Linked DNA regions of Macaca mulatta. The protein of the gene in region 7 interacts with the protein of the main gene of each other region in a pairwise test. Links are inferred from orthologs where the notes say so. Each region holds a gene or a part of one and is shown on either strand. Other genes may lie near its edges.

The links.
Region 1: the proteins of MRPL11 (region 7) and PNMA1 interact in binary tests that used the Homo sapiens proteins (3 or more experiments, as listed by UniProt). The two-hybrid records come from large-scale screens. The link is inferred for Macaca mulatta from reciprocal best matches to the Homo sapiens genes MRPL11 and PNMA1.
Region 2: the proteins of MRPL11 (region 7) and HOMEZ interact in binary tests that used the Homo sapiens proteins (3 or more experiments, as listed by UniProt). The two-hybrid records come from large-scale screens. The link is inferred for Macaca mulatta from reciprocal best matches to the Homo sapiens genes MRPL11 and HOMEZ.
Region 3: the proteins of MRPL11 (region 7) and THAP1 interact in binary tests that used the Homo sapiens proteins (3 or more experiments, as listed by UniProt). The two-hybrid records come from large-scale screens. The link is inferred for Macaca mulatta from reciprocal best matches to the Homo sapiens genes MRPL11 and THAP1.
Region 4: the proteins of MRPL11 (region 7) and FSD2 interact in binary tests that used the Homo sapiens proteins (3 or more experiments, as listed by UniProt). The two-hybrid records come from large-scale screens. The link is inferred for Macaca mulatta from reciprocal best matches to the Homo sapiens genes MRPL11 and FSD2.
Region 5: the proteins of MRPL11 (region 7) and CAMK2D interact in binary tests that used the Homo sapiens proteins (3 or more experiments, as listed by UniProt). The two-hybrid records come from large-scale screens. The link is inferred for Macaca mulatta from reciprocal best matches to the Homo sapiens genes MRPL11 and CAMK2D.
Region 6: the proteins of MRPL11 (region 7) and TAX1BP1 interact in binary tests that used the Homo sapiens proteins (3 or more experiments, as listed by UniProt). The two-hybrid records come from large-scale screens. The link is inferred for Macaca mulatta from reciprocal best matches to the Homo sapiens genes MRPL11 and TAX1BP1.

What each region holds. Positions count from the first base shown.
Region 1 is NC_133412.1:146,883,639-146,887,582, reverse strand, and holds PNMA1 (paraneoplastic antigen Ma1), read left to right. Parts: upstream 1-1,140; 5' UTR 1,141-1,943; coding exon 1,944-3,005; 3' UTR 3,006-3,811; downstream 3,812-3,944.
Region 2 is NC_133412.1:96,383,178-96,387,271, forward strand, and holds the start of HOMEZ (homeobox and leucine zipper protein Homez), read right to left. Parts: upstream 2,803-4,094; 5' UTR 2,622-2,802; coding exon 2,582-2,621; exon of another isoform or gene 2,414-2,581; intron 2,286-2,413; exon of another isoform or gene 476-2,285; intron 1-475. UniProt on the Homo sapiens protein: May function as a transcriptional regulator.
Region 3 is NC_133413.1:44,941,711-44,945,936, reverse strand, and holds the start of THAP1 (THAP domain-containing protein 1), read left to right. Parts: upstream 1-1,424; 5' UTR 1,425-1,644; coding exon 1,645-1,715; intron 1,716-1,841; exon of another isoform or gene 1,842-1,995; coding exon of another isoform or gene 1,996-2,045; intron 2,046-4,226. UniProt on the Homo sapiens protein: DNA-binding transcription regulator that regulates endothelial cell proliferation and G1/S cell-cycle progression.
Region 4 is NC_133412.1:73,933,472-73,937,572, forward strand, and holds the start of FSD2 (fibronectin type III and SPRY domain-containing protein 2), read left to right. Parts: upstream 1-1,297; 5' UTR 1,298-1,567; coding exon of another isoform or gene 1,568-2,179; 5' UTR 2,180-2,416; intron 2,417-2,748; exon of another isoform or gene 2,749-4,057; intron 4,058-4,101. Other genes in the region: WHAMM (WASP homolog-associated protein with actin, membranes and microtubules), read right to left, coding at 1,568-2,179.
Region 5 is NC_133410.1:122,779,527-122,783,030, reverse strand, and holds part of CAMK2D (calcium/calmodulin-dependent protein kinase type II subunit delta), read left to right. Parts: intron 1-409; coding exon 410-504; intron 505-2,869; coding exon 2,870-2,992; intron 2,993-3,504. UniProt on the Homo sapiens protein: Calcium/calmodulin-dependent protein kinase involved in the regulation of Ca(2+) homeostatis and excitation-contraction coupling (ECC) in heart by targeting ion channels, transporters and accessory proteins involved in Ca(2+) influx into the myocyte, Ca(2+) release from the sarcoplasmic reticulum (SR), SR Ca(2+) uptake and Na(+) and K(+) channel transport.
Region 6 is NC_133408.1:100,601,376-100,605,376, reverse strand, and holds the start of TAX1BP1 (tax1-binding protein 1), read left to right. Parts: upstream 1-1,199; 5' UTR 1,200-1,344; intron 1,345-4,001.
Region 7 is NC_133419.1:7,982,751-7,986,847, forward strand, and holds the start of MRPL11 (large ribosomal subunit protein uL11m), read left to right. Parts: upstream 1-1,293; 5' UTR 1,294-1,378; coding exon 1,379-1,501; intron 1,502-1,873; coding exon 1,874-1,969; intron 1,970-2,689; coding exon 2,690-2,783; intron 2,784-2,867; coding exon 2,868-3,027; intron 3,028-3,221; coding exon of another isoform or gene 3,222-3,339; exon of another isoform or gene 3,340-3,354; intron 3,355-4,014; coding exon 4,015-4,097.

The DNA.
Region 1 (3,944 bases), on a different chromosome or scaffold from region 7:
GTTAATATTTGCCTCTAACAATTTGCAGCTGTTTCACTTTTTCCTCATTTGTCTCTAAGTTGAAGGCCTTGTTGGAGGGGACAGAGCACAGGAACAGCCTTGACAGTCTGTAATTATTGTACAAATATTTTAATAGCATATAAATAAGTATATTCCTTTTATTTTGAAACAAAAATGATCAGACACTGCCTTTTGTGTGTTTGCTGCCTGTGGCACCCTTTTTGAAAAAGACTGTTACATATTAAAATAGTGTACATACATATAAATATTACCTCTTTTGCTGTACAGTTGTGATAGAGACTGAAGATTTTATTTTTTGTGTGCTTTTTATAAGAAAAAATTAATACACTAAAGAATCTTGCTGATGTGATTGTAATGTACCTATGTAACTTATTTACTTTTGAATGTTCTTCTGTATCTTTAAACCTTTTATTAAATAAGGTTTTAAAAATTCAGAGTTGAATGCTATGTTCTCTCGGGATTTTCACCATCTGGGGTTGATGTAAGTGGGCCTTGTCTTGCTTGCAGGGAGATTACTCGACATTTTTGAGCCATAAGGATTCTCTTTTAGCAGCCTATTGTCGATGCCAGCCAGGAAAAGGAAAATAACACTAATGTTTGCCTGGCTAAAAGATGACTCAGTAGACACAGACAAACAGATGTTTACAAAAGTTTAGACAAGAAAAAGTCTAAACTCAGTATCTCACACAAAAAATGGCGCACTCCGGCTTCATTGGGATAAAATACGCAGGGTGCACAGTGTGGTCAGGGGTAACGGGAAGCCAGGGTTCTGAGGAGAGTATTTTCACGTGCAGGGTGGACTGGCTGGGCAACCCGAGTAGACAAGTCCACCATGAGGGATGCCATGACTTCCAATAGTATCATCTTAAATCCACTCCAGGATTGGGTTATTATTTTTAAAACACGGTGCTTAGCAGTATTTGTTTGCTGTTAAAATGGAAAATTATGAAAAAGGAAATGCGCCATCAGAGAAACAAATGCCCGAGCCCCTCGCTGGCACCATGGCAACCGCTCGACCCCCGCGGGCCGCCGGAGCAGGCGTGATTCGCGCCAGCTGGGGCGCCGTTGCCATGGCGACGCCCGAGCGGCTCCGCCACAGGGGCGGGACGGGGCGGGGCTGACGCCGCTCGCGGGCTGGCCCCATCCTCCACTGCAGCAGTAACGTCGCAGCGGGTTGCGGGTAGGACTCGACGCTGGGGCAGCCGCGCAGCGCCTGAGCCGCTGCAGGCCGCCGCGGCCGCCGCTGCCCACCCTTGCCTGTGCTGTTTCCAGCCTCGCTTCTCCGGCTTTCCTGCTCCTCTGCTGCCTTCGTTTCTGGTCCTCGGCCGTCCTCGCCGCCCGCCCAGAGGAGTCCCCGCGCCCGCCAAGAGGAGTCCCCACGCCCTCCAAGAAGCCGCTCTCCGCTGGCCCGCAGCCGCCGCGACTTCGGCACAGTCTCTCCCTCTGGCTAGTCTCCCAAACGGCCGCTCCTCGCCCGCGGGAAGACCAGGCTGCGACCGCGAACGCCCGATCCTCTCCAGGAGCCGCAGCGAGCGCCCGGCGGGCACGCCCCGCGACCACACCCCGGCTGCTTTCGACCCAGCGCGCCTGCCTTCGCCGCCCGCCCTCGCTCCTTGCCCGCTGCACGACGACGCGACAGCCCGGCTGCAAGCGGCAGACCCGACCGGACCCGGACCCAGACGCAAGATGGCGACGGCCGCGTGACTTCCTCAGCGTCCCCGAGCTCAGCTCCAAGTGTACCTACGGACTGACTGGGGGGGCAGAGAAGGGCGAGATCAGGACTCTGTGTCTTTGTTAGTCGTGAATGCATGAAGCCTACCTCCCTTGGGCCTACTTGGTGGGAGTGTCTGGTATTGTTCTAAGGCCAGGAGTACGGTGAGCCACAGTCTGTTGGTAGAATTGGCGTCTTGATAGTTGAGAAAATGGCGATGACACTGTTGGAAGACTGGTGCCGGGGGATGGATGTGAACTCCCAGAGAGCTCTGTTGGTCTGGGGCATCCCAGTGAACTGTGATGAGGCTGAAATCGAAGAGACCCTCCAGGCAGCGATGCCCCAGGTCCCCTACCGAATGCTTGGGAGAATGTTCTGGAGGGAAGAAAATGCGAAAGCAGCCTTATTAGAGCTCACTGGCGCTGTCGATTACGCCGCGATCCCCAGGGAGATGCCGGGCAAAGGAGGGGTCTGGAAAGTGTTGTTTAAGCCCCCAACTTCTGATGCTGAATTTTTAGAAAGATTGCACCTCTTCCTAGCTAGAGAGGGGTGGACCGTGCAAGATGTTGCCCGTGTCCTTGGGTTTCAGAACCCTACTCCGACCCCGGGCCCAGAGATGCCAGCAGAGATGCTAAACTATATTTTGGATAATGTTATTCAGCCTCTTGTTGAGTCCATATGGTACAAGAGGCTGACACTTTTCTCGGGGAGGGACATCCCAGGGCCTGGAGAGGAAACCTTTGATCCCTGGCTGGAGCACACTAATGAGGTCCTAGAGGAGTGGCAGGTGTCCGATGTAGAAAAGAGGCGGCGGTTGATGGAGAGCCTTAGAGGCCCTGCCGCTGATGTCATTCGCATCCTCAAGTCCAACAACCCCGCGATAACCACTGCCGAATGCCTGAAGGCGCTTGAGCAGGTGTTTGGGAGCGTTGAGAGCTCTAGGGATGCCCAGATCAAATTTCTGAACACTTATCAGAACCCGGGAGAAAAATTGTCTGCTTATGTCATTCGTCTGGAGCCTCTGCTACAGAAGGTGGTAGAGAAGGGGGCCATTGATAAAGATAACGTGAACCAGGCCCGCCTAGAGCAGGTCATTGCTGGGGCCAACCACAGCGGGGCCATCCGAAGGCAGCTGTGGCTTACCGGGGCTGGGGAAGGGCCGGCCCCAAACCTCTTTCAGTTGCTGGTGCAGATCCGTGAGGAGGAAGCCAAGGAGGAGGAGGAGGAGGCTGAGGCCACCCTTCTGCAGTTAGGCCTGGAAGGGCACTTCTGAGTGCCAGAAAAGACAGCTTTAGTGCAGACCTAGATCACAGCTAGTTTTCTTGTCCCTGTGGGGGTCTTACAGATGTGTCTCTGAGTAGTAAAGGCTTAGCCCTGTTCCGTTTTGTTGTTTTTTTGGAGGGGAAGGTTAGTCAGGCCTGAGTATTCATGTAACATTCTAAAATTGTGCAAGCGAGCACCGTGAGCTGCTACAATGCAAGTGGGTCTTGCTGGCTAAAGTGCCAGGTAAAGGGTTGGTTGGACACAGCGCTTAGTGCACGCTGTCATCATGGACATCATAATCAGTTGTGAAAAACACACGAACCTCTGACACTTCCTATTCCACACTGAATGTGAAATTGCATGTGCAGATGTTTACTACGGGGCCTGGCTCACAGGAAGTGTTCAGTAAAAGTATGAACTATTAGATTACTGATAGCGCAGATAGATTTTTCTTTACCATAAATAGTTCCAGATTTATATTGATGGAAGGAAATGTGCATTTATTAGCTATTACTCAACTTTACAATGCAAACATCATATTTCTCATCTTTAAACATGTCGATCAGTTTAATTGAAAAGTATTCTGAGACTGCAAAATGGGGTGTTAAAAAAATACTGCAATTACGGAGCTGTGTAAACCAGTTTCTCATTGCATAAGATACAGATGTAAATTGCATGGAGAGGTTGATATGCACCTGTACAGTAATTCACTTCCCCATTTCAGATCTTTGTCAGAGAATAGTTCTTGTTCATACTGAGTGTTCTAAATTTGAAGTTATATATACAAATTAAAATATTTTAAAAATTCTGTTGTCTTCTCATTTTTCTGGCATGTATAAACATTTTTAGCCTAAGTAAACTCTGTCCTTTTTTCTTATGAAGACTTTGTCATTAAACCATTTATTTTACTCTTAAGCTTTGTATGATACTATGTGAATTTAAATGGCAA
Region 2 (4,094 bases), on a different chromosome or scaffold from region 7:
TGAGCCAAGATTGTGTCACTGCACTCCAGCCTGGCGACAGTGAGACTCTGTCTCAAAAAAAAAAAAAATTCTCACTCTCTCTCTGAGTCAGTATAACACCCTTCTTTCCCCTTGGGCTTTCCATATCCCTGGACAGATGGCAAACAAGAATGGACTGTCTTAAACTTCCAGTTTCTGTGTTTACACAGTCCTAGGAAAAAGAGGACTCTAGAACTTTAGGTTTGAACCTAGGCCTATCGTTAAATTAGGAGACAGTTAAAGTGGGAGGCGAGGCTGGGTATAGTGACTCACGCCTATAATCCCAGCACTTTGGGAGGCCGAGGCGGGAGGATCACTTGAGGTCAGGAGTTCGAGACCAGCCTGGTCAACACGGTGAAACCCGTCTCTATTAAAAATACAAAAATTAGCCAGGCATGGTGGCATGCGCATGTAGTCCCAGCTACTGGGAAAGCTGAGGCAGGAGAATCGCTTGAACCTGGGAGGCAGAGGTTGCAGTGAGCCATGATCACACCACTGTACTCCAGCCTGGGGGACAGAGTGAGACTCTGTCTCAAAAAATAAAAAATAAAAATAAATAAAGTGGGAAATGAGATATGATCCTGCAGAGTTCCCTAAATCTTTATTTAGAGGCAGTCTGAAGTACTCCTGAAATGTGTTTGGGGATACAGTTTTAAGGGCCTTAAAGATGTATAGTGATATTCAGCTTATATGCTTCTTAACTTTTTAGTTCATGAACCTCTGAGAATCAGACAAAAGTTACAGACCCTCAGAAAGTTATGACCAACCTTCCCGAAATAAACATTCACACTTACACAGTAAACTCAGGGCCTTTAGTGACTGCCAAGAAGCCAGGTTAAGGATTACTGCCTTATATCCTTCCAACTTAACAAAGGCAATAGTGGTAATCACTTAAAGATGAACAGTTTGATGTGAACGAATGTAAAGAGTTGATGGAATACTCAGGAATTCAAGTGCGTTTAGAAGGGACAAGGTAATTGTGATATTAGTTGGAAAGAGTGGAAGGGAAGGATGCTCACCTGGGCCAGGAGCCTGGCTTAACTGACCCACTGGATTACATGACCAATACCATGGTGCACTGGAAACTAAAGGCCAGTAGGCTACTACTAGTGCGCCAAAATCATCTGCTTCATTCAGTTGTCCTGTGTGCTGGGGCCAGTTTTGTGTGATTACAAACCTGCTTATGTCCACACTTTTTCAGTGTCTGTATAATAATGTAATTAAACCTCATGTAAACCTATGAAAAATCACTGCATTGAAAACTGTTCCTTCAGGAATACTGATTTTTAAAAAATTGGTCCTATGAAAACTAAGTCAAATGTTTTGGAGAGACATAACGCAAAGAAGAGTATGCATTTTAAAAATTGTTGAGTTGGGAGTGAGCAAGACAACTGTAAAAGATTGAGGGGTGGGACTTAATCTCAAAAGTACTCTGCACTCAAAAGCGTCTGAATTCTTAACTTCACTTTAAATAAAGCAAAACGGGAAATCAAAGATGATGAAAGTGCCTGAGTGGCTCTCATCTCAGACTGCACTGTAGAATTACCTGGGAAGCTTAAAAACCAGGCCACTCTCCTCCCCATTCAGATTCAATAGTCTGTACTGGGGTCCAGGCATCCACAGTTTTTTAAAAAGTTCTCAGGGTACAGCCAGGTTTGAGACTCCCTGTGTAGTTAACACTGGAAAGAGAATTGGGAACTCCGAACAGCAGTCTTAGACACAAGAACAGTCTCACCACTACATCAAAAGATTGGTGAAATGGACATACTTTTAATTATAATGTTCAAGATATGTATGCATTATCTTTAAAATTCCCAATCTGGTTTTTTCAATTACAACCATCTAACCTAATCATGTAATATAAAAGGGCTTCAAGTGTATGATGGGAAAGAGGCTCACATGACAAAAAAAAAAAAAATCTCCTGATCTGGGCCCACATTACCAAACAGGTCTCAGCTTGAGTCTTCTTTCACTTTAGGAGTCTCAGAATAGGACGCAACACTAGGAACCCCAGAGGACTCGGGTTCTCAGTTTCCTGGTTGGTTTTCTGAGTATGGCTGGGTACGGGAATCAGAGGGGCAGTTTCTTCTAAACCTTTCATTCCCAAAGGCCGCTGATCCCCCAGAAGCAAGGCCAGGTTCTGCACGTGTGTTGAGGTCGCCAGGAGGTAGCCATGGGGGTTGGGGGTTTGTGTGGCGTCGGGGGGGGCCTGGGAAGGAAATGTTTCTCCTATCCTCCATTTCACAGGCAGTCCAGAAGGCTCCGAACTGGGTCAGGGAACAAAAAGTTGTTGCACTTGGGACGATGAGCCCCATGAGGCAGGCGAATCTCAATCCTACTCTCGCCAAGGGCGCCCCAACCCAACCTTCTTGCCCTCCCCTACACAGACACTTACCCTCCCCTAGTTACAACAGGGAACCGAAAAGTCCAGAGGAGAAAAAAGAGAGAACCGAGCCACTTCGAACCTAGAATTCTCCCCCCACCAGCGCGGGGATGGGACTCCAGAGGTGGGAGACCGTACACGAGCTGGGAGGGGAAGTCCAAGGGGCTGGGGATCACTCACCGCGGTCCAGCCCGGGCGGCGGCTCCCAGCCTCGCACCATGGGCCGGGGGGAAGTGGGGGAGAGGGCAGGGGGCCTCCGAGTGGGAGTGGGGTTGCTGCCCGGTGCGGCCGCTCCGAGCCCACCCGAGCGATGGCCGAAACCGGGACTGCCCCCCCACACCGCCCCCGGGAGTGCGCCGGTCTACCCAGCCCTGCTCGAGCAAGTTGGAGGCGGGGCGGATGGGTGGGGTGGGCGTCCAGAGGCGGTGCCAAGGTGGCCCGAGTCCTGATTGGTGGGCGCAGGCGGGCGGGCACGGGCGAAGTGCACTGGGCTGGCCATTGGCTGCTTGGGTCTCGGCTGAAGTCGGCTATTGGCTGCGTGGGCCTCAGCTGGGGTCATCTATTGGATGCGTGGGGCAGGGAAGATGTCCCCTGGGGCCAAGCTGCGGTGCCTGGTACCTCCCCCTACCCTCGACCTATGGGCGCTGGACCTTTGGAGTACCCCGGGCCAGGATCCTTCCGAAATTCCCCAAGGAGGGACACTGCACTTTGCCGAACTGTCTGGACCGCCAACAACTCCCAATTTGTTTCCTTCTGAAGGAAGCCCTCCAGGAAGACCTTTTCAGTGCCCCCTCCCGAGCCATACACACGAGCTGCGCCTTTCCCAGCCGAGAGCCCAACCGCCACCAGCAGCGTCAGCAGTAACAAAGCGCCTAAAGCAACCGGGAACTTGTTCTCGAGATGGATCAGATGTCTTGCCACCCGGAAAGACGAGGACCTTAGGAGCCTGCGGGCGACTTAGGCCGTTCCCTGGGTCAAACTGGCACCAGACCGATGTTCCCAAAGATGAAGTGCTGGAGCAGTCACCTCACTGGGACCTACCAGACCCTCCGGCTCCCCTCCTTGCCCTAGAAAAGAGGACCCGGAGTTCTGCATAGTATTTGTTTTTCACTAGCTAGAAAGGGATGAAGACTGAGGTGGGAGAATAACTTGATTCCAAGAGTTCGAGGCCAGTCTGGGCAACATAGTGAGACCTTGCCTCAAAAAAAATTTTTTTTAACTTACAAAAAGAAAGGGATGACAATAAAACGGACTTCACCAAAGCAGTATCCCACACAGTATGAAGTTATAGGCCAAAATTTGTATTTTAGGATTCCCCATCTTCTGTGAGACAAAGTAACAAATGTAAGAAGCCAGACTTGCTCAATTCTGCTTGGCAACATAATTTCACAAAGCCTCTGACTCTGAAGTCTCTGGGAAGACCCTTTGAAGACAAAAGAGGATAGGGCACACAGTCAACCATGTCTCTTGCCTGAGTCACTATATTCCCTAAAAGATAAACGGGCTGGGAGCGGTGGCTCACAAACCTAATCCCAATGCTTTGGGAGGTCAAAGAGGGAGGATTGCTTGAGGCCAGGATCCAAGACCAGCGAGGCAACATAGCGAGTCCCTGTCTCTGCAGAAAAATTTAAAAATTAGCTGGACTTGGTGGCGTGCACTTGTAGTCCCAGCTACTCAGGAGGCTGAAGCAGGA
Region 3 (4,226 bases), on a different chromosome or scaffold from region 7:
TGTGCTGTGCTACAAGGGTTTGTGATAAAGGATTAATTACTATATTATGTAAGAATCGATATCTTTATTTATTTATGAGACAGAGTCTTACTCTTGTCGCCCAGGCTGGAGTGCAGTGGTGCAAGCACGGCTCACTGCAACCTCCGCCTTCCCAGATTCAAGCGATTCTCCTGCCTCAGCCTCCAGAGTAGCTGAGATTCGAGGCATGTGCCAACCACACCCGGTTAATTTTTGTATTTTTAGTAGAGACGGGTTTCACCATGTTAGCCAGGCTAGTCTTAAACTCCTGACCTCAAGTGATCCGCCCGCCTCAGCCTTCCAAAGTGCTCGGATTACAGGCGTGAGGCACTGTGCCCAGTCCATTATTATCTTTAAAGCAAAATTAGGAATGCTTCTGTTCTCAAAATATCGAGATATCTGGACACTTCGAAGTCTGGGTCTGTTTAGTAAACATTATCAATCTGTTGCCTTAATGGTATACATCTAGAGGCTAGGAACACCTAACTTTCCGGGAATGCAGCCCAGCAAGTCCCAGCCTCATTTTCCTAGCCCTCACTCAACACAGAGTCGCTCTATTTCGAACCCCTCTGACATATTCTCTCTCAGATGTGAAAACTGCTGCAGCAGCTCCCTATTTGCAACACCGCACATGGAAATCACAGCAATGGACAGCCCTTCACAAAAGCTTCTGGGGAGGGAGGGCCTGGTGGCTCAACTCCCGTAATCCCAACCCACTGGGAGGTCGAGATAGGTGGATCCCTTCAGCTCGAGTTCTAGACTGGCCTGGGCAACGTGGGGAGATCCTGCCTCTATTTTTTTAAAAAATTACATATATATATATACACACACACGTATATATGCATACATATATACATATATATAATGCTTCTGCGTTGGCAATTCAGATGATTTGGCGAGTGTGTCTTTTTTCATTGCTAAAAACCTGTCACGTTGGCTCTCAGAGACTTGTGATGCCTGAAGACACAGGTAATGGGAAAAAGATCAGCATTCTGGGAAAAGGTTCCACAATTTTATTAATCATACACCATCTGTGTCCGCCCTTTTAGAGAAATGGGCGCAATCAGACAACGACCTCGGCTTTACACCTGTTCTCCATGAGGCCCTAGTTGTTTCCTACTGTAAGCCGCCCCAGAAAAGCTCCGCATCAATTAACCCACGGGAACAGCCCGGGCTGGATGATGCCCCTGGAATCCAGCCTCCCGCCGCGCCTCCTCCCCCGCAAGCTGTTCCTTCCTGCCTACCGGAAGTTCAGGGCTCCGCCCACTTCCGCAACTCTGAAGCCACCGCCGGAAACACCTGGCCTCAGCCAATAGTTAGCTTCCCAGGAATCGTTACCTCTGACCTCGGGGCTAATCAGAGACAGTGGGACGCACCCCTCGCGAGAGGTGAGGTTGAAGCTGCCTCCGCCATCTTGGAGATGGGAGACGGGCGATGGCTGTGGTCCTTCTGCTAATGCAAACAACAAAACGGGCACACTAGTCACCCCAGAGGGAGGCCACCATTACTGTAACTGTTGGCCAAAGCTACAAAAGAGCGAGGGTGTCCAACCGAGCGCGGCGACACTGAAAGCAGCTTCCCCTGCCTTCTGCGGCGGCAGAAGTGAAGTGCCTGAAGACCGGAAGGATGGTGCAGTCCTGCTCCGCCTACGGCTGCAAGAACCGCTACGACAAGGACAAGCCCGTTTCTTTCCACAAGTGAGGACCCTGCGCGCCTCGCGGGGCCGGTCTTAGCCAGGGTGGGGGCGCGCGACCGGCGGGGCCGGGGGCGGAGCCAGGCGCGTGTCCGCGCGAGGGGCGGGTGGGGTCTGGGGCCGGCCGCGCGAGGCGTTTCCCGCCGCGTCCTGCTGGGAACCGTCGCCCGATCGCGCGTTCTCGGCGCGCGTCTCCGCGGCGGTTGTTTCTTGCGCTCTCGGAACAGGTCCTCGTTGCAGGCTTCGCTCCAGGCCTCGGTTGACGAGTTTGGAGCCCGCGGGCGATGCCTATGGTGGCGCGGGTTTTGCCGCCACCAGGGTCACGAGCAGCCAGGTGTTGTAATAACGTCTTAGGGGTAAATTTGAAATATAAACAAAGGCCTTTCCCTTGTCGTGGATGGGAGGCCAGCATCGTAGCAATTAAGGGTTTTTTGGCTGGGAAATCCCGGAGAATTTTTGCCCCAAATCTCTAGGAACTAAGCTTTAAGGACCCTGAGTTTTGAAGAAAGCTTCAGGTACTGCCAAGATAAATCGTTATCTTTTCAGCACACAATAATGATAATATGGATAGTTACAACATGGATCATAATAAAATGACTCACACTGATCTTTATTTATTACGGCATTACCTGTGCATAGAGGAAGCTCTTTCGAAAGAAACTGCCCCACAGCTTTCAGAGCTGTCTTATCCAATAGGTAGCACAGTTAAGAGTGCTAGGATCAAAAATATTCTCTTGAAAATAGGAAAAAAAGTGCAAAGTTGCAATTACTTATGATAATCAAACGCTTGTAAAATGTGACATAACATTCAGCTGAATTTGTTTACAAATTTTAATTACATTTATGTTAAGTTTTCTTTGTAAGAATTCCTGACAACTATATGCAGATGATAGCTAAGAAATCAGATCCAGGGGTAAACTATACAAATTAGTCATAGGTAATTAGCTAATTATCTTTTATAATTAGGTAATTACAAAAGCAAAATGTTAAATATCCTTTCAATTTTTTTATTTTGGTGTGGAGCCATCTATGTTTACTAGGGGAGTGTCCATGCATTTTTTAAGTGTTTGATATCATGTGAGATGGACCCTATAGAAATAAGAGAGTGTAGAACATAGGTCTCCAGAGTAATGATGTTACCCCTTGGCGAAGGGGGTAGAACACTTACAGGATTCAGTTCAGGATATCCTAATATTGTCTCTTAATTTAATTGGAATTTCTGTAAACATGTTCTTTCGAAATGTAGGAAAAGGTCAGGTGATGGTAACAGGATTACATGTGCAGCTCCCCACCCACATTTCTGATGGCATGGCAGAAGGAATCTAAAATTATGGAAAATGTTTCACTGGCACTGGAAACAAGTTTAAGGAGGGTATTCACACGTCAGAAATAACTGTGTTTTTGGCCAGGCACAGTGGCTCATGCCTGTAATTCTCAGCACTTAGGGAGGCCTAGGTGGGCAGATCACCTGACGTCAGGATTCAAGACCAGCCTGGCCAACATGGCAAAATCCCGTCTCTACTAAAAATACAAAATACAGGCGTACGCCTGTAATCCTAGCTACCTGGGAGGCTGAGGTAGGGGAATCGCTTGAACCTGGGATATGGAGGTTGCAGTGAGCTGAGATCTTGCCCTGCACTCCAGCTTGGGTAACAGAGCCAGACTCCATGTCAAAAAAAAAAAAAAAAGAGAGAAATAACTGTTTCTGCTAGGTGTTAAACACATACGGATTGAATCAAAAGAAGAGCTAACCTGCATCTTATCCCTTATCTAAAAGAGCAGGTTTAGGGAGAGTAGATGGGAAAGATTTTAACAGAATCTCACAAACAGCTGTAAATTTGTGGTCCTTGTGCCAGGAGGCCCTAGGTACTGACTGAATTTTAGCAGCAAATGCTACCATAGTTTATGCTTACAGAGCCAGGAGGCCATAGGTACGGAATTTTACCAGCAAATGCCACCCTAGTTTATACGTATAGAGGCCATTTCCAGCTGAGATTTTCTTCTTCTCTTTTTGAGATGGAGTCTTGCTCTGTCACCAGGCTGGAGTGCAGTGGCACGATCTCGACTCACTGCAACCTCTGCCTCCCCGGTTCAAGCGATTCGCCTCAGCCTTCTGAGTAGCTGGGACTACAGGCGCGCAACACCACGCCCAGCTAATTTTTTTTTTTTTTTTTTTTTTTTTGAGACGGAGTCTGGCTCTGTCGCCTGGGCTAGAGTGCAGTGGCCGGATCTCAGCTCACTGCAAGCTCCGCCCCCCGGGTTTACGCCATTCTCCTGCCTCAGCCTCCCGAGTAGCTGGGACTACAGGCGCCCGCCGCCTCGCCCGGCTAGTTTTTTGTATTTTTTAGTAGAGACGGGGTTTCACCGTGTTCGCCAGGATGGTCTCGATCTCCTGACCTCGTGATCCGCCCGTCTCGGCCTCCCAAAGTGCTGGGATTACAGTTGTGATTACAGGCCACGCCCAGCCCCAGCTGAGATTTTCTAGGAGTACCACTTATCCCACCGTCTGCATAGT
Region 4 (4,101 bases), on a different chromosome or scaffold from region 7:
TGCTTAAGGAGAAAGTGATCTACTTTCAGCTGTAGTTTTTTATCCAGGTAATAATATTATTATTATTTTTTTTTAAGTGAAAGCCTCGCTGCACAAAATTAAGACACACGCAAAAGTAAACTTAAGGCAAGTGATGCATTTCAGCCTTATTTCTTAGACTACTCAGAAAACTTTCAGAGTTAAAACATTCAGCTTCATTTTATATATCCTAGCAATACTAGCAATTGATCTAATTCTAGAATCAATTGCTTTTCTATTCTAAATATAAATATTAAAATTATATATTTGGACATGTTTTGAATTGAAGCTTCTTCCCCTCCCAACCCCTCATTTTTAAGTTCCAAATAAATACGTGAACTACACTAATGTGAACAGCTAGCTCAACAGTATGAACTACATTCATGCTATAGTACCCCAGAGTGAACTTAAATTTGGGAAAACTATAACTTTTCTGATAGTAACTACAGTAAAATACATCATATAAATGTTCGATTTTAAGGAGAAACCACCTATCTCTGTGAGAAACCGAGTGGGTAAAAAACAAGTCTGATTCAAAATGATACCATTTTTCACCTCATATCCTAAGGTGAAAATGATAAAGTTGAAGATCAAACGCTGACTGGCCTGAAACTCCCCTGTGGCTTCCTCATAAAGTGAAATCAACACATGAGAAGTGGGTGTGTAGATATTTACACATAAAACCCACAGTACAAAAATGACCCCACTAACGAGCTCCTTTTATAAAATCATTTTAATTTAGAAAGCTTATTCTATATTTAGCTTAGGCTGAATTCTTCTCTTCACCTCCCCTTCCTCAAAAGAATGCACAGAAAAAAACCATTCAGGTTAATAACAGCAGTGAGCCGAGACTCCAGCCTGACTCTCCTTAGTAAACTGTGAGTGTGGATTTAGAAGCCATATTTTCTCCTAAACCCTTCTATGAACTTGTACTTCCCCATCCCCTTAGGTTCAGTAGGTTTACCACTCAAATAATTACTCTCTCTCAAACTACCTCTTTCAAGCTTAAAAGGGCACTAATGCGGTTATTCCAAACTGATGAATAAAGTTCACTTTCTGCTGGCTTTCCATTTGACTAAGTATATATTACTTAAAACAAAACACTCTATCTCCTAAAAGCCATTTCTTCTATCCCATTCGCGACGTTCCCTCATACACAGACTTAGAATTGCTTACATTTAGTCCGTGTTATTCTTTCCTACATGGATGGGTTGTTTTCAGTTTTGCTTGCATATTTCTGGCATTTCCCGTTGCAACATCCTGCTCTGCCAGCATCTTCAGGGCAAAGGTTGGGGGCCTAGCCCAGCTCCCAGCTGCAAGTACACTAGGCTCTAACTTCGCTTGTCCTCTCTGCAGGCCCTCCCGGAGCTACCGCCGGTTTCCCGCAGCGGTCCCGCGCAGGTGAGGGCACCGGGGAGCCCACGGCCTTCTCCGCCCGCCGGCTCCTCCCCGTCAGCCGTCAGCCAGGGCTCTCGGCGCCGGGGGAGCCTCCCACAGGGTCCCAGGCCATGGAAGCGGGGACGAACGCCGGCGGCCCGGCCTCTCTTACCTGGCGCAGCCGCGCGTCCACCTCGACCCACCGCGCGCGCAAGGCCCGCTCCCGGAACTCGCACGGGCTCTCGCAGTCGGCCGCGCCGCCCTCAGCCGGGAAGAGCGCGTCGCGCACTGTGGCGCCGCCGCAGCCGTCGGCCGCCGCGCCCAGGTAGCGCTCCAGCTGCCCGCACAGCTCCTGCAGCGCCGCCTCGCCGGGGTCCGCGCGCGCCGGCCACAGCAAAGCCCACAGCCCGAGCCCCAGACCCCAGGCCCCGCCGCCGCCGCCCACATCCAACTCCGGCGGCAGCCGCGGGAAGCAGCGCTCCAGAGGCGGCCACAGCGCCGCCAGCTGCCGGTGCGCGCCGCGGAGCCCTGCGGCCGAGAGCAGGCCTGCCCAGCTGGGCGGGGACACGGCTGCCTCGGGCTTGGGCTCGGGCTCGGGCCCCAGCCGGGCCCCCTCGCGCCGCCGTCGCTGCTGCGCGGTGCGGTCGTGACAAGTCACAGCGAACTTGCCCTCCGCTTCGTTCCAAGCCACCAGGAAGCGCAGCCGGTGCCTCTCGGGCTCGGCGAAGAGGCCCTCCCGGACAGGCACCCAGCCCTCTAAGCTGTCGGGCTGCTCGTCTTCCATGGCAGTCGGCAGCAGCGGTCCTAGGGCTCGGCGGGCGAGGGCCTGGCCTGCTCGCACCGCCTGTCACGGGACAGTCCGAACCCGAGCATTTTTCACTGGAATCGAAACCGCGTCAGTGACCCAGCAGCGCCCTGGCCCCCGGCACCTCTAATTGGCTGACCCGGAGGTGGGGCTTACAAGAGGTGTTCGGGGTTGGTTGGGTGATAGACGACAGGGCCAGCGACAACCAATGAAAAGGTGAGACGGTGTCCCTCAGGAGTCAATCATCTCGCAACCCATTCAGGAGTCTGGGAAATACAGCTCTTGCCTCACCTTTTCCACCCAATACATAAGGACGTTGGAAAAATATCTGTTGAATCGGCGACTTGTTGTCTTAGTCTCCCACACTAAACTGTGAACTTCTTGAGAACAGGGACCAAGCTGATTTCCTTTTCTATCATCAGGGCCCTATTGAGTACATGGTTCCCGCCCTCAAGAATGTCACAAATGTGCTGGGGAGATGAAACATAAACTCGATAGTCATTTATTGAGGGCCTCTAAGTGCCAAGTACTGGGCAAGAAGCCACAAATTTATTTTTGTCAATTCAACAAACTTTTATTGAGTGTCGGCTGTGTGTCGGTATTGAGGGGGTGGAGTAAGAGGAGGAATTCAGGGCACTGCAGCTCCCAACCAGGGTGTTTAAATACAATCTGTGTTCTAACTCTTCACTTTAGAGTTAAGGAAACAGAGGCCCAGACAAACTTAAGATACACCGACACTCGGGCTCGACATGACCACCTGGCTACTGAAGGCCTGTTTAAGGAGATACCAGGAAATCCAGTTTACATGTCAGGGTGGAGCTAGATCTGTTCTTGCATCAAGGACCAAGACGGCCCTACTCTCTGCCTAGGAAATGTGCAGTGTAGACTGAGAAATACAGTCCATGTCCGCTCCCATCCTGGGAGTGCACTGAGACAGGTGGTGGTAATGGGGGGAGGAAAGGAGGCAGATGCCAGGAAGCTGGGATCAGGAGCCCTTTGCCAAAGCAAGGCCTGTGAGGTGTTGATTCGGGAACAAGTGAAAGCGTGTGTGAAGGTTTTGAGCTGGGAAAAACTGGAATCAGATTTTGTACTTGCTGTTGTCCCCAAGGGTAAACAATAAGCAAACAAAAAAATCAGGGCCAAGCTAAAGCTCTAGTTAGGACATCTCTCTGCCTTGAAAATGACCTCAAGAAATCTAGGAACCTCTGTGGAATGCAGCTTGAAGGTGGAAAGGTGCCTTTGTCTGAAGGTCCTTCCCCTTTTATGCCTGCTGCAAGTGTGAGGGTTGGGGATTGGGCCCTGGGACACAGTCACTCAGTCTTCTTGGAGAGATAACCTTTTAGCTGAAGTGATTGATTTTCCCCTACTTTTAATATACTGTTTTAACTAATATGATTTACTTATGATTTTTAACAGTCTGTTTTAAATATCTTTCTTGTATATTCCTCACATTGTATCTTTTTACTATCTGTTTTATACTGTGTTATCATTTCTATTAGTTTTCTAATCTATTTGGTTTTTCAAGAGGAAATTGTCAGTCTTTCTCATTATAAAGTGTCGTGGGTGGCTGGGTGCAGTGGCTCACACCTGTAATCCCAGCACTTTTAGAGGCCGAGGTGGGTGGATCACTTGAAGTCAGGAGTTTGAGACCAGCCTGGCCAACATGGCCAAACCCCGTCTCTACTTAAAATACAAAAAAAAAAAAAAAAAAATGTTAGCCAGGTATGGTGGTGCATGCACTATAATCCCAACTACTCAGGAGGCTGAGGCATGAGAATTGCTTGAATCCAGGAGGCAGAGGTTACAGTGAGCTGAGATTGCACCACAGCATTCCAGCCTGGGTGAAACAGTGAGACTCTGTCTCAAAAAAAAAAAGAAAGAAAGAAAGAAAGAAAGAAAGA
Region 5 (3,504 bases), on a different chromosome or scaffold from region 7:
AATAACATGCTTAGTTTTTGAACTTCAACCTCACAGTGACTAAAATCATAGTCTCTATATAGGTAAGAATGCAGGAAGACTCTATATAAACAAGAGTTCAGGGAGGCCAAAGAATGTCGCCCTAAATGACAGATATGTTTTATCTTTAGAGTTTCCCTTCCATGCCTCTTTAGAATTCTTTGAAGCATGCATTGACTGACACATTGTCAGAGTTCTGGAGCATAGGAGGAGAAGCATTAACCTTCCAGAGACTGCTCTAGAATAGACCATAACACGTCTCTCTGAAGTTTTCCTACAATCCAGTTTTCTCTGTTTTAACAACTACAGCTTAATATCATTGTGGATCAGCCACATTTAATTTATTGTTTTCTATATGACTTAAATAATGTTAATACTGTAATCTCTCCAGGTGTCATTCTCTATATTCTACTTGTGGGGTATCCACCCTTCTGGGATGAAGACCAACACAGACTCTATCAGCAGATCAAGGCTGGAGCTTATGATGTATGTAATAACTATTTATATCACTTTAGATGAAGGTTTGTTTTTTGCTTGCTGATCAAGAGCCAGATCTTTTCATTTTTCTTTTAACTATAATTTTTACCACTTTCTCTTATTATTTCCCTCTCTCTTAAGGAAAGGGAAAAAGAAATGCAGCATATGTGTTCAGCTTATGTTTCCTTTTAACTCACTCTCTCCTAAGATAAAAAGAAAAGTCATGTGAAGTCTCTGAGGAAGAACTTTGTCAAAATGTTTGGATCTTAGTGCATTTTAAAAACATAAAAATTAAAATATTTCTGCTACAAAAATGATTATTGCCCATTCAGTTGAATTATATTCTCAAATACCTATCACATAATTTTACATTATATACCAACAATATTTTGCAGTGATCACATATCAAATAGAACATTATTCCACTATACCAGTTTCTGGGTTTTGTTTTTTGTTTTTGTATTGTTTACCTAATGGGATGCTATGCAAGCTTTCATTTGAAGAATGAGTTTCACAATTGAAAAATTTGAAAATCATAATTCTAATATATTTAATTTTTAATTAGAATATTTGAAAGTATATATATATACATATTCATAAATTAAGTTCAGAATCTGAAGAGGAAGTCTTTATCTACTTTCTCTTTATGGCTTAACTTTGTGTTTATGATATAATTTGCTCTCCTTTGATATGTATTCTTGTAAATATGATTTACCACTTTCTCTGGTTTCCTCTCATACAGCCCTAGGGAAATCCATGTGCAGGATCTGGGCATGCTTTCCATGTGTCATTAAGTGGAGTAACTATGGAGTAGCAATATTGGGTTCACCTTTTGTGCACAAGTTGAAAGCTTTATGTGAAAGTGAGAGGAGAAAATATAAAATGTCTGTATTGTATTCTATCATGTCTCATGAACTCTTCAGTGCATTTCTGATAAAATTTTCTATTTAGATGGATGTGTGTTTCAGTTAGCAAGAATTTAAAATGTATATTCTTTGAATTTCGAAGCATTCCATTATCCCTAGACTAGTAATTGAAACAAATTATTATTTACATGGCAACAGCTAGCACATTCACCATCTTTACAGACTAGAACCAGCCCCTTTCTGGGCAGACGTAGCCCTGAAAATGCACTGCTTGGTATACCGGAGGAGTGCTTTCATGAAAATTAGAAAACTGAGGAAAAGGTTCACCTTTCTTCATGCCGAACCTACCCCTCATTTGCTATCAAAAGACCTGTACAACATTTAAGAAATAGCCTTGCATGTTTCTTTAGTAGCTCCTAACAGTTAGCAAGCTTTCACAACTGCCAAACATAAGCTTCAGGAATTAAAAAATGACAATTGTTAAGCTGGCAAGAAATTACAGGTATTAGAGTCAATATCATTTTTCTCGTGCTTTATTTTGCCAATGAGTCACAAGTTCCCCATTTTAAAACTACCAAAAATAGACTAATTCCATTGACACAGTGACAATGGCTTTATTTTTCAAGATTGTCTACACAAATTCATGAATTGGGAAAATAACTTGATATTCTATCATTTTGCAACTAATGTAGTATAAATTTCCCTTAATCATTGAAGGACAGTATTTCTACTAAACATGCTAATGATATAAAAGTAATTTATTATCAGTACAAAAAAATAACATGAAGAGAGGAGAAGTAGCTTTCTTATATAGTCTTATTGTAAAAAAATATTAATAATGGGAAGTTATAAGATTTGATTACTTTCATATACTTTGGTGAAATTTGTAATTGGGCAGATTAAACTTCTTGAAGGGTTAAAATGAAATCTTGCTGAAGCTCCTATAGCCTCAGATTCTTCTCACTACAGCACTCCAAGTAGCCATGATTAATAGGTCAGTTTTGGCACAGGAATTGAAGCTGTTTTATTACCTCTGCTATTACTGCTTATAAGTTGTGAAAGTATATAATACCTCATTTTGAACCTTGGCATAATATTACGATGGCATTGGTACATGTAGCAACCTCTTTGCTTTTATTAAGTTTTGCAAATAATTATGAGAAAGATGTATAAAATTTCATGTTCAGATCAAAGCAGAGATACTTTGAGAATAGAAGATTCTTAAGTTCTTTTTTTCTGAATTTTAAAATGTATTTACCATATGTGATATGCAGCTCAGTATATATGTTGGTCCCTTATCAGATACTCTTTAATATATATAGTTGTCTACATAGAGGGGGAGAATAGATCTAAATGATTTTATTTATTTTAGATACAATTTAACTTATATAAAAAGTAAATTTATGAAGAAATTCACTACTTGAGGAAATGATTCATATAGTTGACTCTTCCCTGTTTGATTGAGTGTGTCTATTTTTTAAACTTTTTATAAATTTATATTTTTGAAGTTTCCATCACCGGAATGGGACACGGTAACTCCTGAAGCCAAAGACCTCATCAATAAAATGCTTACTATCAACCCTGCCAAACGTATCACAGCCTCAGAGGCACTGAAGCACCCATGGATCTGTGTAAGTAAAACTTCTCAAAAACTTCAAGAGCTAAAATGAAAAATAAGCTGTCCTTTAATATATTGTTTATGGATTTAAAATAACTTTGCAAAAAAAAGATGAAATTCAGAATGAATGAATTTTTGACTCAAGGTGTTTAAGAAAATGAATTTTATGATGGCGAAGAAATGCAATTTTCAGTAGCAAAGTCTGAATTGCATAGATTATTAAACAAATATTGCTTGCAGTAACAAAAGGAATGAGTATTCTTCGTATCAATTATTGACAATACTCGTGAACAAGGTCAAGAAAATAACACCAAAATTAAATGTATCCCAGAAGAAAAGATTTAACAAAGTTCAATTATTTGTCATTAGGCAACTTTAGAAGCAAGTATGAAGTTTGGCAGCTGAGAGTAGAGTTTTAGTGGCATAAAAGAATGGTCATAGTAGTCTGAATATTTTTTAGAAATATTAAGAAAAATAGTGTGAAATTTGAGGGGAATCTGAAGACTTCAGTAAATTTCTGAATGT
Region 6 (4,001 bases), on a different chromosome or scaffold from region 7:
TGCTTATAAAGTTCACTGCTATGTTTACATTTCTTAAGGGACACAGTTATTTCTACTACCAGAAGGCTGCTACCAGTAACGCGAGTGATAACTTAAGTTGATTATTCACACCGTTTTCTTCATCCATAAAATAAGGAGACTGGGACTAAATGACCTGTTAAGGTTCTTCTGAAATTCTATGATCAAGTATACTACCCAGCACAAGATCAAGTTAAAAAATGTCAATACATAGGAAAGAAATCAGTCTGTAAATACTGAGAACCTGTATTATCAAAGCTAATGTCTTCTGAAATAACTGGAAGTAAAGATGAAAGTATATGAAAGATAATTTTGAATGTTCTGTATTTAGAATGTGCTTCAACATTTAACGCGATCTAATTTACGTACCTTTCAGGTGCTATTGCAAGTTTTATCAGGGTTTTATGGCAACAGACGAATATGATGAATTCGAATGGGACACACTGGCTTCTGTGAAGTTAGGATTCAAACTGAATGTCTAATATAGGAAGGCAATACATACAAAAGGCAAAAGTGATTTTAGAAATAACAGAACGCGGGACAAAATTCACACACGGAAAATGATATGGCTAACAAAAGCCGGTAACTCACAAAAATGCGGGTAGAAAAGAGGCCTCTCTGCTGGAGCGAGAACAAATAGAATCAGACGGCATTAGAACTGAAAGGCTCCTAGGAGCTTTCAGTGAACAAAACTTCGTAGTCAAAAAAGCACAGGACTGGGCCAGGAGTTGAGAGACAATCCTGGAGTTTAGGTGTTTGCAGCCCTAGCCGTGTGGTAACTCCCTTGCTTCTCTGGCTATTTCCTTATCTATAAAATCGGTGGGTTAGTTTAGGCCGACTGAGACGCAGGCAGGGACACGGTACTGTTCATGGACCTCTGAGCTGCCCTTTCCACATCGCGGTTGAGTTACTTAAATCTCTGGTGTGTTTCCCCATTTCGTATGTCAAAATAATAACATACAATCAGAATGTAAATCCAGACGCATTGTTTTTCTGCGATTAACTTGCTGAGCGAAAATGGCAAAGACGAACGAAGGAGAGAACCATTCGGCCTGCGAGAGGAGGCACGCCTGGGTCCAGCTTCGCGTCCCGCGGCGCAGTAGGCTGGGGGCGTGTCGTCGCGGAGCGGCGGGGCGAACCCTCCAGGAGGCGGAAGAGACCGCCCCGTGGGCGGAAGTGACGCAAGGCCTACTGTCGGCTGTGAGGGTAGGTGTAGCCGGTCTTTGGGGGTAGGCGGTGGTGGCGGAAGAGGTTCAGCGGCTGATGGCGGATCAGGATCGGAAGCCTGTGTAACTTTCTCCCTTGGTCCGGGAGTCTTTCCACTGGGTAAGGCGCCTCCCCGGTCCACCCCAGCACCTTGTGCGGGTCGGACCCCAGCTGCATCTCTTTTAGGGCTCGTGCTACACCCCTCTGCCCCTGTACTGTAGGGGCCTGGCCGGTCTCGGGAGAGGTCTCAGTGGTGACGAGGCTTTCCTTCCCGAGAACAAACCTTCCCTTCCGGACTGCGATTGTGACGGGGGTGTGGGCGACTCGGATCAGCCGTAGAGTTTTGGAATAGCAACGGGTGGCCGCCCCACGCGGAGGGAGGCCCGCGGGACAGGTCTTCGCGATTTGGGGGAGGCGTGTGGGACGGGTGCCCTTTGGCTGGGGACGAGTGACGCTGGCGACCCCCGAAGGAAAAGCTTCTGGTGTCCAAGGCTCAACTCTGGGATGACTGTTTTGAGGTCCCTGTGGGTGTTACCGGCGCAGTAAGCTGAGAAAACACGTAGGTCGCGTCCGAGAAGGACGCTGGGGTTTGCCTCTGCGGAGAGAAACCCAGCTGTTTTGGTTTGAGTCGCCGGTGGCGAAGGGGGCGGAGACTCCCTGCGCCGCCTACTTTTGAGGGCCGCGGGCGGAGTTGGCTGTTCCGGCTGATCTCCTGCTTCACCTGGAATCCTTTCCCCACCCCGCCCCAACACACCCCGCAGGTTCGCGAGGTGTGAACTAGTCCCGACCGACCTGCATTCCTCGCTTAGAGAATCTGTGGCTAGAGTTTAGTGTGCGCGTGTACACCTTATTAGTAAAAAATAGAGCTTAGCATGCGTTTGTGTGGGTGTGTGTACACACCTTATTGGTAAAAGTTTTGTTGGACAACACTGGCATATGACTTTAGACGTACAGTGTTAGATTTCCGATTTCACACAGTGGTTATGAATTGCTATTATGTCAGGCTTTAGATGGGAAAATCTTAATTGTTCAACTGTCTGCATTCTGCTGATGTTAAAATTTCTACGTGCTGTGCACGAACAATTACTAGTTACAAGTTTGGTGCTTAATTCCAAAAGGATTTAAAGAGATCATTTGAATAGAAACTAAAAGTGGGTTGATTGTCCTCAGTGCTTTTCGGGTTTAGAGAAGGAGCTGAGGACAGCCTTTCTCCTTCGTTCTGTTCTTTTCAAGGGTAAACTTGAAGTATTGTTTGATGATGCCGACTTCTAATAAAGTTTTATTTATTTTTCAAGCTGTTCAACTTCAAAGAACATCTTACTGTATTTTTTGTTTTATAGCCATCACGTTCTTTTTTTTTTTTTTTCCTTGAGACGGAGTCTTGCTCTGTCTCCCAGGCTGGAGTGCAGTGGCACGATCTCGGCTCACTGCAACCTCCGCCTCCCAGGTTCAAGCGATTCTCCTGCCTCAGCCTCCTGGGTAGCTGCGATTACAGGCGCGCGCCACCACGCCCGGCTAATTTTTGTATTTTTAGTAGAGACGGGGTTTCTCCATGTTGGTTAGGCTAGGGTCGAACTCCTGACCTCCTGATCTGCCCGCCTCGGCCTCCCAAAGTGCTGGGATTACAGGCGTGAGCCACTGCGACTGGCGCATCAAGTTCTTAAATTGTAGACCGCTGTTTGTAGTTCTCACTGCAGCGATGTTTGTAGAATTAACCAGTAAATATCTTTTCCATAACAAAAGTAAAATTTTGGAATTCAGAGTTTCAACCTTTTTAATGATGTTGAAATAATTATGGAAGATCCTAACGATGCTCCTTGTATACTTCTTTTGGGGACTTTATTGTATTCTTTTGGAATGGATATGTAAAATCTGGGCTTTATGCATTTCTGTCTTTTTAAAGCTTATTTTGTCCCAAATAAACCTTCAGAAGAAGATAAAAATGTCCTCTCCCCTAATATATGTGGGCCAAGATCATAGCATTTTAGAAACCAACTTATAAAATCTAAGAAGTAAGTAAAAGTGGTGCGGGTGACACCTGAGCGGAATGTCTTGGCACTCAGGTGTAAAGGATTCTGGAACTAGGGATGCCTGCAATGGTGCAAGTTAATAGACTGGGGCCTTTGCTTTTGCCTCCTAGAAAAATTGCTGATTACATTTTTTTGGAAGCAGAGGTCTGTTGATAGTTGTTAAGTTTTTCTTTCTTTGAGCCACAGTGTGAATAATTGGAAACTGTTTGAATGTTGGACATTTTTTGCTTTCATATGTTTGCGTGTCCTGTCGGACTGAAGTTTGGAGATAATTCTAAAGGTTTTTTAGCTGAGGATGTGAAAAACTTTCGGTAACTCTGTCAACCATTACCTGAATTATAACACTTCTAAAGATACAAACTGTTCATATTCTAAAATGCAGTGTTTCTGCTGCAGTAGGTCTTATGTGGAGTGTTACTAATCTGTTTCATTTCTTTATTTGCTTTGGTTTTCCTATTACGGAAATTTTCAAACATACACAAAGGAGAATGAACAGTAAAATGAACTGACACTTTACTAATCTTGTTTTATTACCCCTCTAACATTTATTTTTTTCCCCTGGAGTTTTTAAAGCAAATCTTAGACATCAAGACGTTTCATTTACAGTTAGTTTAGCATCTTTAACTGATAAGGACTTTAGAAAAACACAGAATTGCCATAATTATATTATCACACATAACAAAATTATTTTTGAATTCTAATTGTTAGGACTGGCAAATTATATTTAATATTTATCTAAATTAAAAA
Region 7 (4,097 bases):
ACTCCCGACCTCAGGTGGTCTGCCCGCCTTGGCCTCCCAAAGTGCTGGGATTACATGTGTGAGCCATCGTGCCCGGCTGGAAAGTTTTATTAGAAAGAAAGAACGCTGCAGAGGAGTGCAGAGGGATGCCTCAGCAAGAAAGAACTGACCATGCTGGTGGATTTTCCTTAGGGGGTATTTATGGACCTTAAAGAGGAAGCTTGAGGGCAATTTGGACCACACTAGCCACGTAGGTCATGATAAATGATTACATTCATAGTAATTCTGGTGCCTTAATGTCAGCAAGGGTTGCAAAGTGAGTTTTGGCATGGCATTCCCGAGTGTATAGAAATTCTAGTTGCTTATACATTTTAAGTTTAAAAGAGTCCTGGAACCAGATGCTAACATTAGATACTAGGGTAGTTTAATTACTTTTAAAGTCCTCAGGTAAGGAGTTTTAGTCTCCAGGACCTGTTCAAAGGTCGCCAGGTGATTTTTGCTCTCCTCATGATACAATAAGATGCTGGCTTATTTGACTGGTCACAGATGATGCATCGAATGTTCTGGGTCTGTTAAGCCTCACAATAGCTCAGGTTTTATCTTAATTGTACAGATAATAATAGCACATGCTGACTAGGTGCCAGGCATTGTTTTAAGCATTTTGCTAACTTAGTCCTCACAGCAATCCTAAAAGGTAGGTGCTACATATTACAATACCTGCTGTACTGGGGAGGAGACAAAGCATAAGAAACTTGATTAAGTTCACAAGCAGTGGCGCGATCCTGGCTCACTGCCACCTCCAACTCCTGGGCTCAAGCGATCCTCCCGCCTTGGCCTCCCAAAGTGCTGGGATTACAGGCGTGAGCTACCGCGCCCAGCTCAGGGTCTACACTCTTAACTGTACTGCCTTTCAACAGCATGTGAGGAACAGAGAGAGGAGAGAGAGACTCCCATTACCAATCAGGAGCTCCAGGTGTATTTCAAACCCTAGGATTATCACCGTGTGCAGCAGATGGCGCCCTGGAGCGTAGCAATAGGCCGGACCTGTACACGGAGTTAAAACTACCATACCCACAATGCTATGGGGTATCAAAGTCCAACCCTACTGGTTAGCTGTCCGAGGTAGTGCCTGTGCGCGCTCCTGTGGGAAATTGTGTACTGAGGCCATTCGGGACCTTCCTTTATCTGCATAAGACAAGTTAAAAAGTGTTTTATCCTCCTCTTATCCTCCTTGTTTTACTAGTTGGCGAGCAATAGGGCTGAAACAAGGCTGCTGTTTGTTGGCCTCACCTGCGCTAGCCTAACGTGAGGACCCTTGACCTCTGGGCCAAGATGGTGGCGCCCAGAGCTTCGCTCTTGCTGCTGCCCTGAGGTGAACTGAAGCCAGCAGCCCCGCATCATGTCGAAGCTCGGCCGGACCACCCGGGGCCTCAGGAAGCCCGAGGTCGGCGGTGTGATCCGGACCATCGTGCGGGCAGGCCTGGCCATGCCCGGGCCCCCACTAGGCCCAGTGCTGGGTCAGGTGCGGCCGTGTTGGGAACCCGACGTGGGGGTTGTCGAGGGTGGTGGAAGCTAGGACGCGGATGGACGGCGCTGGCTCTGGAACTACCGGGGCCTGGGTTCAGAGCTCGGCTCTGCTTCTCACACGCTTTACGTCCTTGTGCTGGTTACAAAGGCTCTTCCGCCTGGGCTTCCTCATCCCTTCCCAATGTGCTGTGATGAGGATAACGTGGGAAGATGCGTACAGATCTTCTGGCTCACGAAGGGGTAGTTGAATCTGGGTAGAGATAGGAACACAGAGAAGTGAAGACGAAGGAGGGAATGGACGGCGCCTCCTGGGCGGTAGGAAGCCGTCCCCTCCTCCCACCACTAACCCCCTCTGCTTCCCTCACAGAGAGGTGTTTCCATCAACCAATTTTGCAAGGAGTTCAATGAGAGGACAAAGGACATCAAAGAAGGCATTCCTCTGCCTACCAAGATTTTTGTGAAGGTGGAGTCTGGACCGATCCCTGGTTTCTTTCTCCCTCTGTTCTTCCTCATCCCTGGGGCTGGTCATCTGGGGTTTTCTCAGCTCCTGACTTGACTTCCTATTACTGGGCTCCACTTTCCCCATTTAGGACTAGACCATATTTTTTCTGAACCAGCCCCATCTTGCCATGTTGCAGTTCCTCCTTTGCCCCTCCATTTCACTGGGCCTTCCAGAGCAGAATTAGGGCAGGAATAGAGAGGACAGGGTTGTTTGTTGCAGATTTATTTTTTCTTTCTTTTTTTTTTTTTTTTTGAAATGGAGTTTTGCCCTTGTCGCCCAGGCTGGAGTGCAATGGCACTATCTCGGCTCACTGCAACCTCCTTCTCCCGGGTTCAAGCAATTCTCCTGCCTCAGCTTCCTGAGTAGCTGGGATTACAGGCGCCTGCCACCATGTCTGCTAATTTTTTGTATTTTTAGTAGAGATGGGGTTTCACCATGTTGGTCAGGCTGGTCTTGAACTCCTGTCCTCAGGTGATCCACCCACCTTTTCCTCCCAAAGTGCTGGGATTACAGGCATGAGCCACTGCGCCTGGCCCAGATTTATTTTTTTCTTGTGATTCTGTGGTCTTTTTGAGGGATGCCATAGGAAAGTGAGATGAAGGAAGCAGGGACAGGACATTAGAAGTTCCCTGGGATGGGGCAGCAGGAAGAGAGAATCTCATATTTCTTTTTTCTGTTAAGCCTGACAGGACATTTGAAATCAAGATTGGACAGCCCACTGTTTCCTACTTCTTGAAGGCAGCAGCTGGAATTGAAAAGGGGGCCCGGCAAACAGGTGAGGGTCAGGGTAGGCGTCTGAGATTCTGGGGACTCCAGAATCTCAGTAACACCTGAAGAACCACTTGTTCCTTCCTTCTAGGGAAAGAGGTGGCAGGCCTGGTGACCTTGAAGCATGTGTATGAGATTGCCTGCATCAAAGCTCAGGATGAGGCATTCGCCCTGCAGGACGTACCCCTGTCCTCTGTTGTCCGCTCCATCATCGGATCTGCCCGTTCTCTGGGCATTCGTGTGGTGAAGGAGTAAGTGTCCTGGCAGGTGCAGTGTGACGAGAGGGCCCAGAAAGCTCTGGACTCGGGCAGAGCTGAGAGGGCCCATTGCAGTGGGAAAGTCAGTTTTTAAGTCAAGGGACCCTAGATTCTAGAGGATAGGGTGGGTGTGGGAGACCACATTCATTGATTTGGAATACTCTTATTGGGCACCTGTTATGTATTAGATGTTGTTCTGCAAATGTTCTAAGAAATGGAAAGCTCTCCATGAAGGATCCAAGTGGGAGAAGTTCAGTGTCACCCGGGTCTGTCGTCCTAGACCTAGGCGAGTGGAGAATGGTTTGAGGGAAGGACCAGTGGGGAAAGATTTTTGAGCTGTGTCAGGTTCATGCTTGCTCCTGAGGCAAACAGGAGACCCCCGTTATGGGGCTTCAGATGACTTCAGGAATTGTTTCATTGAAGTAAGATGTTGGGTGGGAGAGTGTCTGGCCTAGACAATGGCTGGAACAGAGATAGCACTCAACCTTTTACTGGCTTCTTGCTGCTGTGTCACATCCCATGTCAAGGCTGACAATTGATTATTTCCCGAGAAGAGTGGGATTAAGCATGGAGCAGACACAGACTTGACTTTTCTTAAATCTTTTCTTTTATTGGGAACATGGAGATGGGTAAATCTGACCCCAGCCCTGGGACAGACATACATGCTCAGCCCCGTGACTTCATTGTACAGCATATTTTGGGGCACAGAGTACCCCAGTTAATCTGGACTGGGGTCTGGCTGACACCTCAAAGGATGAGTAGGGATTTAATAAGGGAACAAAAGATAGGGGTTTTGGGGGTTGGGAGATGGTGTCCCTGGAAAGCAAAGGTATAGAGGCTGGGAAGTCAGGGAGGGAGAAAGGGCCAGGCAAGCTGGGCTCTGAGACAGAGGCCCCTTTGAGCCCCTGCAAGACATGGGGTCCTGTGAGCTCCCACTGGTGACTCATCATGCGCCAACCATCTGTCTGTCTTCACTTGCAGCCTCAGTTCAGAAGAACTTGCAGCTTTCCAGAAGGAACGAGCCATCTTCCTGGCTGCTCAGAAGGAGGCAGATTTGGCCGCCC